Kluyveromyces lactis: one gene and its partner. The protein of the gene in region 1 binds, or shares a complex with, the protein of each later gene. Links are inferred from orthologs where the notes say so. Each region holds a gene or a part of one and is shown in the gene's direction. Other genes may lie near its edges.

The links.
Region 2: DRS2 (region 1) and LEM3 share a complex: the UniProt entries of both Saccharomyces cerevisiae proteins name them as parts of the flippase complex. The link is inferred for Kluyveromyces lactis from reciprocal best matches to the Saccharomyces cerevisiae genes DRS2 and LEM3.

What each region holds. Positions count from the first base shown.
Region 1 is NC_006037.1:356,831-361,332, reverse strand, and holds the start of DRS2 (aminophospholipid-translocating P4-type ATPase DRS2), read left to right. Parts: upstream 1-1,677; coding exon 1,678-4,502. Other genes in the region: mitotic regulator LTE1, read left to right, coding at 1-5; ribosome biosynthesis protein MAK16, read left to right, coding at 444-1,352. UniProt on the Saccharomyces cerevisiae protein: Catalytic component of a P4-ATPase flippase complex which catalyzes the hydrolysis of ATP coupled to the transport of phosphatidylserine and small amounts of ethanolamine from the lumen to the cytosolic leaflet of the trans-Golgi network and ensures the maintenance of asymmetric distribution of phospholipids.
Region 2 is NC_006041.1:202,235-205,794, forward strand, and holds LEM3 (Lem3p), read left to right. Parts: upstream 1-1,619; coding exon 1,620-2,909; downstream 2,910-3,560. Other genes in the region: KLLA0_E02157g (uncharacterized protein), read right to left, coding at 657-1,028; XRS2 (Xrs2p), read right to left, coding at 3,232-3,560. UniProt on the Saccharomyces cerevisiae protein: Accessory component of a P4-ATPase flippase complex which catalyzes the hydrolysis of ATP coupled to the transport of glucosylceramide, phosphatidylcholine, phosphatidylethanolamine, and small amounts of phosphatidylserine from the lumenal to the cytosolic leaflet of the cell membrane and ensures the maintenance of asymmetric distribution of phospholipids.

The sequences.
Region 1 (4,502 bases):
TTTAATTCTTTAATGTCGAGTAAAGTATTTGACATAGAACTAGTTAGTCTCAGTTCATTTCACCTCATATAATATATATATCAACACACGATTTTATCAGTTTCAAATAGTTTCATCCACATTTTTTTCGAACATATTTGAATGAAGGTTAATCTCTTTAGATCTAATCATGCATATTCCGACTCTTGATTAAGTTTCCGATTATAACAATAAAATATCATTGGTCATGTGACTAAAAATTTAGTAATCCATTTCTTTTTTCTCTTTCTGCCTGAAAATTTTTGAGAACTGAAAAATATCGATGCGATGCGATGAGATGAGATGAAATGAAAGAAGCAGCGACTAGCGGAATAGCAAGTAAACTTAGCGATAGTCATAACCAATTTAAATAAACTCATACTAAGCATAAACCAGTATCTGTAGGATTGACTGAACATTAGCAGATGTCTGACGAGATCATTTGGCAGGTTATCAACCAGCACTTTTGTGCGTACAAAGTCAAAACTGATAAGGGACAGAACTTCTGTAGAAATGAATACAACGTAACAGGTTTATGTTCGAGACAAGCGTGTCCTTTGGCAAATAGTAAATATGCCACTGTAAAGAACGTGGACGGAACACTTTACTTGTACATGAAGACCGCGGAAAGAGCTCACACGCCTGCTAAATTGTGGGAAAGAGTGAAACTATCTAAGAATTACACAAAGGCATTAGCACAGATCGATGAACATTTACTGTATTGGAACAAGTTCTTAATTCATAAGTGTAAGCAAAGGATGACAAAGCTTACACAAGTGATGATTACAGAGAGACGTTTGGCATTGAGAGAGGAGGAGAGACATTATGTCGGTATTGCTCCTAAGGTGAAAAGAAGAGAAGAGAACCGAGAACGTAAGGCATTATCAGCCGCTAAGATTGAAAAGGCTATCGAAAAAGAATTGCTTGAGAGATTGAAGAGTGGTGTGTATGGTGATAAGCCTTTGAATGTGGATGAAAAGATCTGGAAGAAGGTCATGGGACGTGTAGAAGACGAGGACTTGGATGAAGAAGAAAACGATTGGGATGAGGAAGAAGAAAGCGATGAGGGAGAAGTCGAATTCGTAGAAGATGAAGACGCTGAGGATGAGATGGTAGATATGGAAGATTTAGAAAAATGGCTCGGTGGTTCTGATACATCTGATTACAGCAGTGATGAGGACAGTGACGAAGACAGTAGCGACGAAGATAGCGATGAAGAAGAAAACCCATCTAAGAGACAAAAGAAATCTACACAAACCAGAAAGAGACATCCTAAGGTTGAAATCGAATATGAACAGGAACTAAATTCCAACCAACAAGAACTTGCACAATGATGCGTTTCTGAAAAACAGAGCTCGTCATGACCACATTTGTATACTATTAAATTTGACATATTATTATATTTATTGAAGATAAATTTCCAACTACGATAAAGAAGCAAAGGCAATAGTTAATAATTATATACACTTACAATAGCATCTCACCATCAATAGTATGTCCCCTTTCCCTTCATTTTGTTATACTGTACCCAAATAATGCATTCGAAATAGCAGTCACGTGGAAATATTGTTTCCATGCTGACAGTTTTTTCTTTGTAAATTATACCGGAAAATCCCATTAGGACACATTAAACAGAAAGATTCGTAAACCATTTGCACCATGAAACCCAAGTACTTTGAAAGGGAGATACAGAGCCAGAGAGGAGCGACACACCGATCAACCTGCTTTCCAATGAGTGGCTCAACTAAGCATGGCGACAGCGATGCGTTGTTTGATGTTGACTTTCTTGATGATAGCTACACCCCGGATTTACGGGATAGTCCAAGAAGGAACAGCCCAAGTGCAGTAATAGATTCAGGAATGGATACCTCACAGAGAGGCTTACTCCCACAAGAGACCATTGACCTCAGTGACAACATAGAGAACGACATTGAAAATCCTTTCAATGACCGTTATTCAGCATCCTTTGCAGACACTAACCCTAGGAATAGTGTCTTACCTCAGCCAAGTGGGTTCAATAGATTTATGAGCAATGTGAAAAGTGCAGTCGGTATGAATGGTGGACATAAGGGTCAATTCCAAAGTTTCGAAATGAATGACTACGATCAGAGCAACACTAATAGGTATGAAAGCTCTACGAGGAAGTTTGACATCAAAGTTTTGTTCAACAGGTATATTCTCAGAAAAGGGAAAACCTCTTGTAAGTCTGACGAGCCAAGAACGATTTTACTCAACGATAGTTCAGCAAATAGCCGTTTCGGCTACAGAGATAATCACATCTCTACGACGAAATATAACGCTGCAACTTTCTTGCCAAAGTTTTTGTTTCAAGAATTCTCCAAATACGCGAATTTGTTCTTCTTATTCACCTCCATTATCCAGCAAGTACCTAATGTTACACCTACCAATAGATATACGACCATTGGTACACTATTAGTAGTGTTAATTGTTTCTGCAGTTAAAGAAAGTGTCGAAGATTTGAAAAGATCGAATGCTGATAAGGAATTGAATCATTCCCTGTGTGATGTTTTGGACGAAAGATCTGGAGAGTTTGTGAGGAAAAAGTGGATTGATATAGCAGTTGGTGATATTATAAGAGTTAGATCTGAGGAAGCAATTCCTGCTGATTTGATCATTCTTTCCTCTTCGGAACCAGAAGGGTTATGCTACATTGAAACAGCCAATCTCGATGGTGAAACCAATTTAAAGATTAAACAGGCGAGACAAGAAACAGCAAACTACCTCGATGAAAAAGCTCTCTGTAAACTTCATGGAAGGGTACAGTCAGAGCACCCAAATTCCAGTTTATATACTTATGAAGGTACAATGACGCTAAATGGTAGCACTTTCCCTCTATCTCCGGATCAAATGCTGTTGAGAGGTGCTACGTTGAGAAATACTGCTTGGATTTTTGGCCTCATAGTTTTCACTGGTCACGAAACCAAATTGATGAGAAATGCCACTGCGACTCCAATTAAACGTACTGCTGTGGAAAGAGTCATTAATATGCAAATTCTTGCCTTGTTTGGTGTCTTAATTGTTCTAGCTTTGATTTCCTCCACTGGTAATGTCATTATGACGAAAAGGGATTCTGCTCACCTCGGATATTTATATATCGAAGGTACTAATAAAGCTGGCTTGTTTTTCAAAGACATACTAACTTTCTGGATTTTATTCTCTAACCTTGTTCCCATTTCCTTATTTGTTACAGTTGAAATGATAAAGTACTACCAAGCTTATATGATAGGTTCAGACTTGGACTTATATCACGAGGAATCAGATACACCTACCGTTGTTAGAACGTCATCCTTGGTAGAAGAATTGGGTCAAATTGAGTACATATTCAGTGATAAAACTGGTACTTTGACGAGAAATGTAATGGAATTCAAGTCTGTTTCTATTGCTGGCAGGTGCTATATTGAAACTATTCCTGAAGATAGACGTGCAACTGTAGAAGATGGAATTGAGATAGGTTTCCATTCCTTTGAAAGTCTAAAGGATAAAATGACAGATCCTGAGGATGATGAAGCAGGCATTGTCATTGAATTTTTAACCTTATTAGCTACTTGTCATACTGTGATCCCAGAGACACAAAGTGACGGAACAATCAAATATCAAGCAGCTTCCCCTGATGAGGGGGCATTGGTACAAGGTGCAGCAGACTTAGGCTTCAGATTCGATATCCGTAGACCTAACTCGGTCTCCATTTCAACCCCATTCAGTGAACAGCTTGAATATCAATTGCTCAACATTTGTGAGTTTAACTCCACTAGGAAACGTATGAGCGCCATTTTCAGAATGCCTGATGGTTCGATTAAATTATTCTGTAAAGGTGCAGATACCGTGATCCTCGAGAGGCTTGATAGTGAATTTAATCCATACGTTCAATCAACCTTGAGACATTTGGAGGATTATGCTGCTGAAGGTTTAAGGACTTTGTGTATCGCTAGTAGGACAATTCCGGAAAAGGAGTATGAAGAATGGAGTAAAATATATGAAGCAGCATCCACAACTATGAAGGATAGAACTGAAGAGTTGGATAGGGCAGCCGAACTGATTGAACACGACCTTTTCTTTTTGGGTGCTACAGCTATCGAAGACAAACTTCAAGAAGGTGTTCCAGAAACAATTCACCATTTACAAGAGGCCGGATTGAAAGTTTGGGTCTTAACTGGTGATAGACAGGAAACTGCAATCAATATTGGTATGAGTTGTCGTCTATTAAGTGAAGATATGAATTTGTTGATCGTAAACGAAGAAACTAAGGAGGATACGCGTACGAATCTCCAAAGTAAGTTGAATGCCATCGAGTCACATCAAATTTCACAGCAGGATATGAACTCGTTAGCTTTAGTGATTGATGGTAAATCATTAGGATATGCTTTAGAGGAAGATCTTGAAGATCAGTTTTTGACAATTGGTAAGCTATGTAAGGCCGTTATTTGCTGTAGAGTGTCTCCATTGCAAAAGGCTCTCGTTGTAAA
Region 2 (3,560 bases), on another chromosome or scaffold:
AAAATATATATATAAACCAACTATTTCTCTCACTTTCAGCTACTAGTTGGATCCCTGGCACTTTCTTTTATACATTTGCATCAATTGACATAATAATAAATCCTGAAACTCATATTTGTACTGTGTTCAGATTTGTAATGACATATACTTATATAATGTTTAAACAGAATCGGCAAAAAGAAATCCAGAAAACCATAACAAAGAGACCTGATTTTATCATTTTGTAGATTTTCAAGTATTGATGGTTACTTAGGATGACTAGGAACGAGCATCGGTAAATAGGGTTGATATACACATAAGCATAATACAAAAAAAGAATTTCTTTTGAACTCAATTAGTAAAGCACCTGTATCATTACAATAACCTAACGTTCTGTTTCATGCAATGAGCTTTTCCTGCCGTTCTTCTGCTGCTTCTAAGAAGAATTCTGTCGAACGGAATTATCAGAAAGAATACACAAAGGAGAGGGAAAAAAACGTGTAAATACTCAAAGAAAAAGGTAGGCAAACGCGTACTTACGTGGTGGGGAATTGGTTGCCTTATGGTAGAGACCGAATTGCCGTCTGGCGGCGCACGTCACCTCTAGTTAAAGATGATCTTTGGATTGGGTGCCCAAAGGATGGGTATAGAAGGACATTAGGATTCAGAGCAGAGTACTATGGTTGAAACTGCGTCAGTCTCTGGGTTGGTAAAGATGGTCCAATTTCGGCCGGATCATGGACGTCCTGGTAAAGCCGTTCCGGCCGGTCAATCGTGGTAAATGACGTTAATGGGTGCGAAGTCTCGAAGAGATTCCAACGGTAGCCGGACTTTGGATTAGCAGTGCTGGGAAAGTGTCTAGCAGTTGTGTCTGATACCAATTCAGTATAAAGAAGGTTGGTACTTGCTTTCGCACTGAGTTTCTCTCTGCATCTCCGTTCTGTCAATTGGCATTCTTGAGGAGTGCATGAGATTTGGCTAATTGAACTGGAAAAAAAAAAAGAAGTCGTTGTTGTTGTCCACGTGATTTGAAGAAATATTGATGTCATGTGACCTTGCAAACAGTTTTTCTTCTTCGAGGCGGTTTTACGTTTTGTATAAGGTTAGCCTTCTGTAGCACAGCGGGAATAGCTTAATCTATTACATAAGCTCTGCGCTTATTATGCCCAATATTGCACGAAAGCGCAGCTATTAATCATTATTGTATATCGCATGACCTCACAGATTAGTTCGTACAAGTAGTGTCAGCACATGATAAGCTCTTTCCCCCCAGTCGTCGAAGCGGAAGTCTCTTAACAGTATTCGGTTTCCTGAACCGTTAATTTCCTGCACGAATCTTTTGAATAAATAATCAAGGCTTCTCAAAGTGAAAATAAAAAAAAATAAAAGATGGTTCATTTGTACTTTACTTCTTCTCTAATGTTACGGAAAACTATGACAATTTGAGGGTATAGCAGTCAACTGAGTTGTCAACTGAGTTGATCAGGATATCAAAAGAAACACTGAGTGGTTCTATTTAAACTTAATTGGACAGTTAACCTTCTCGCTGTCACAGGTGTTTCAACCGGATTTGAAATTGTTCTTTTTTGTTTTAACCACCTTTTTCCCTCAATACTTCCTACATATAAATTGTCCTGACCATGACAGCGTTGAAGAATATAGGGAAAAGTGTAACTGGAGTCTTTCATAGACGTGGTAAAGATGGAAAGTCTACAGAAGATGAAAATGGACTCAATACGATGGTAGAATTGGAAGATGATGTGGACGCATCCGAATTTGAAGATGATGAAAATGAAGTAGTCAAGAAGCCTAAATCCAGAAGACCAAAGGAGACGAAATTTACACAACAGAAAATAGCATCTTTCAATCCAGTGCTAACACCCAAGAAAGTGCTTCCCATCTATTTCTTCCTCGGAGCGCTTTTCCTAATTTTTGGTGGTGTCATGCTCAATAATGCAAGACATGTCGATGAGATATTCGTGTTCTACCAAGACTGTGATACGAACGCGCCAACGGATGATTTCGCAGACGTACCGGATGACCATTACAAATACATTTTCCACAAGGCTTATAATAAAGACGATTTACCTGTTCCTCAATGGAAGTACGTACCAGATTCAGATCCAGATCCAGAGGAATTGCAGACCGGTACCTGTCAATTAAGATATTCAACTCCTTATTCATTAGAGGGTCCTTTGTATATATACTACTACATTGAAAACTTCTTTGGAAACCACAGAAGATACGTGTTGTCCTTTAGTGAATTCCAGATCATCGGTGACAAGGCTACCTTAGGCCAAGTCAAAGATAATATCGGTATCAACTGTAAACCCTTAGTGAGAGATAGTGCAGGAAAAATTTACTACCCATGTGGTCTAATAGCCAATGCAATGTTTAATGACACTTTTCCTGATACAATGCAAGTGATCTCAGAGGATAGTGGAGACCAAGTGGATACTATTGAATTGAGTAACAAAAATATCAATTGGTCAACTGATAAAGACCGTTATAAGAAAACGAAATATTCACCTTCCGAAGTTGTTCCTCCACCTTACTGGAAAAAGCAATTCCCAGACGGTTATAATGATACAAATATGCCGGACATTCATGAATGGGAAGAGTTTCAAAATTGGATGAGAACACCTGCTTTCTCGAAGTTCTCAAGGTTAATCAGACGTTCTGCAAACTCACTTCCACAAGGTCAATATCAACTTGATATAGATCTTCATTGGCCCGTTACCATTTACAATGGTAAAAAAGCCGCATACATCACTCACGGTTCTACTCTAGGTGGACGCAACACCGCTCCAGGTATTATATATCTCGTTGGAGGTAGTATTTGTTTCATCCTTGCGCTGATTTCGTTGGCATCTCATCTGTTCTGGGGCCGCTCCACGGCTGATACTCACTTATTATCATGGAACAAATGATGCTTCTATCTATGACTCTCTATGATTTTATTAGTCCTCCTCATTTAACTATATCTTTCTGTATATTACAATAACAACTAATTGGCACTCTTTTGAAGAATCTATAGAGAACAAATTGTTGTATCTACTTTTCATTTCACTGAGTCTCAAGCTAAGAATATAATCGTTGAAAGGACAGACTCTTTATCTAAAATGAACCCGCCATGTCAGAAAAACCTAATAATAAGTTCCACAAGCTGTAAAAACTTATGAAGTTAGAGGTTTTGTTATTAAGTGAAAATATTAATGGAAATTTATACAAATTTATACATTTATACAGGAATCAAATTTCCCTTCTAGATCTGAAATTGAACCGTGGGGTATCATCTTCTTCGTCATCCGTATCACCTAATTTAGCCACCGATGATGCTGTGGAAACTGTCGCAGGAGACCTAATTGATACAGCAGCAGCAGGCCCTACACCTTCATAGTGCTGTTCATTATTCTGACCGTAAATTGCTAGTGCACTATTATTGGATGTTTCATTTTCTTCGTCATCATCATCATCTGCCACAAACAGAGACCTTGTGGGAATGGAATATTCCCTGTTCGAGAACCTAAATCCTGAATCATGTTCGGTATTCGCAATTGCTATATCCATAACACCAACTG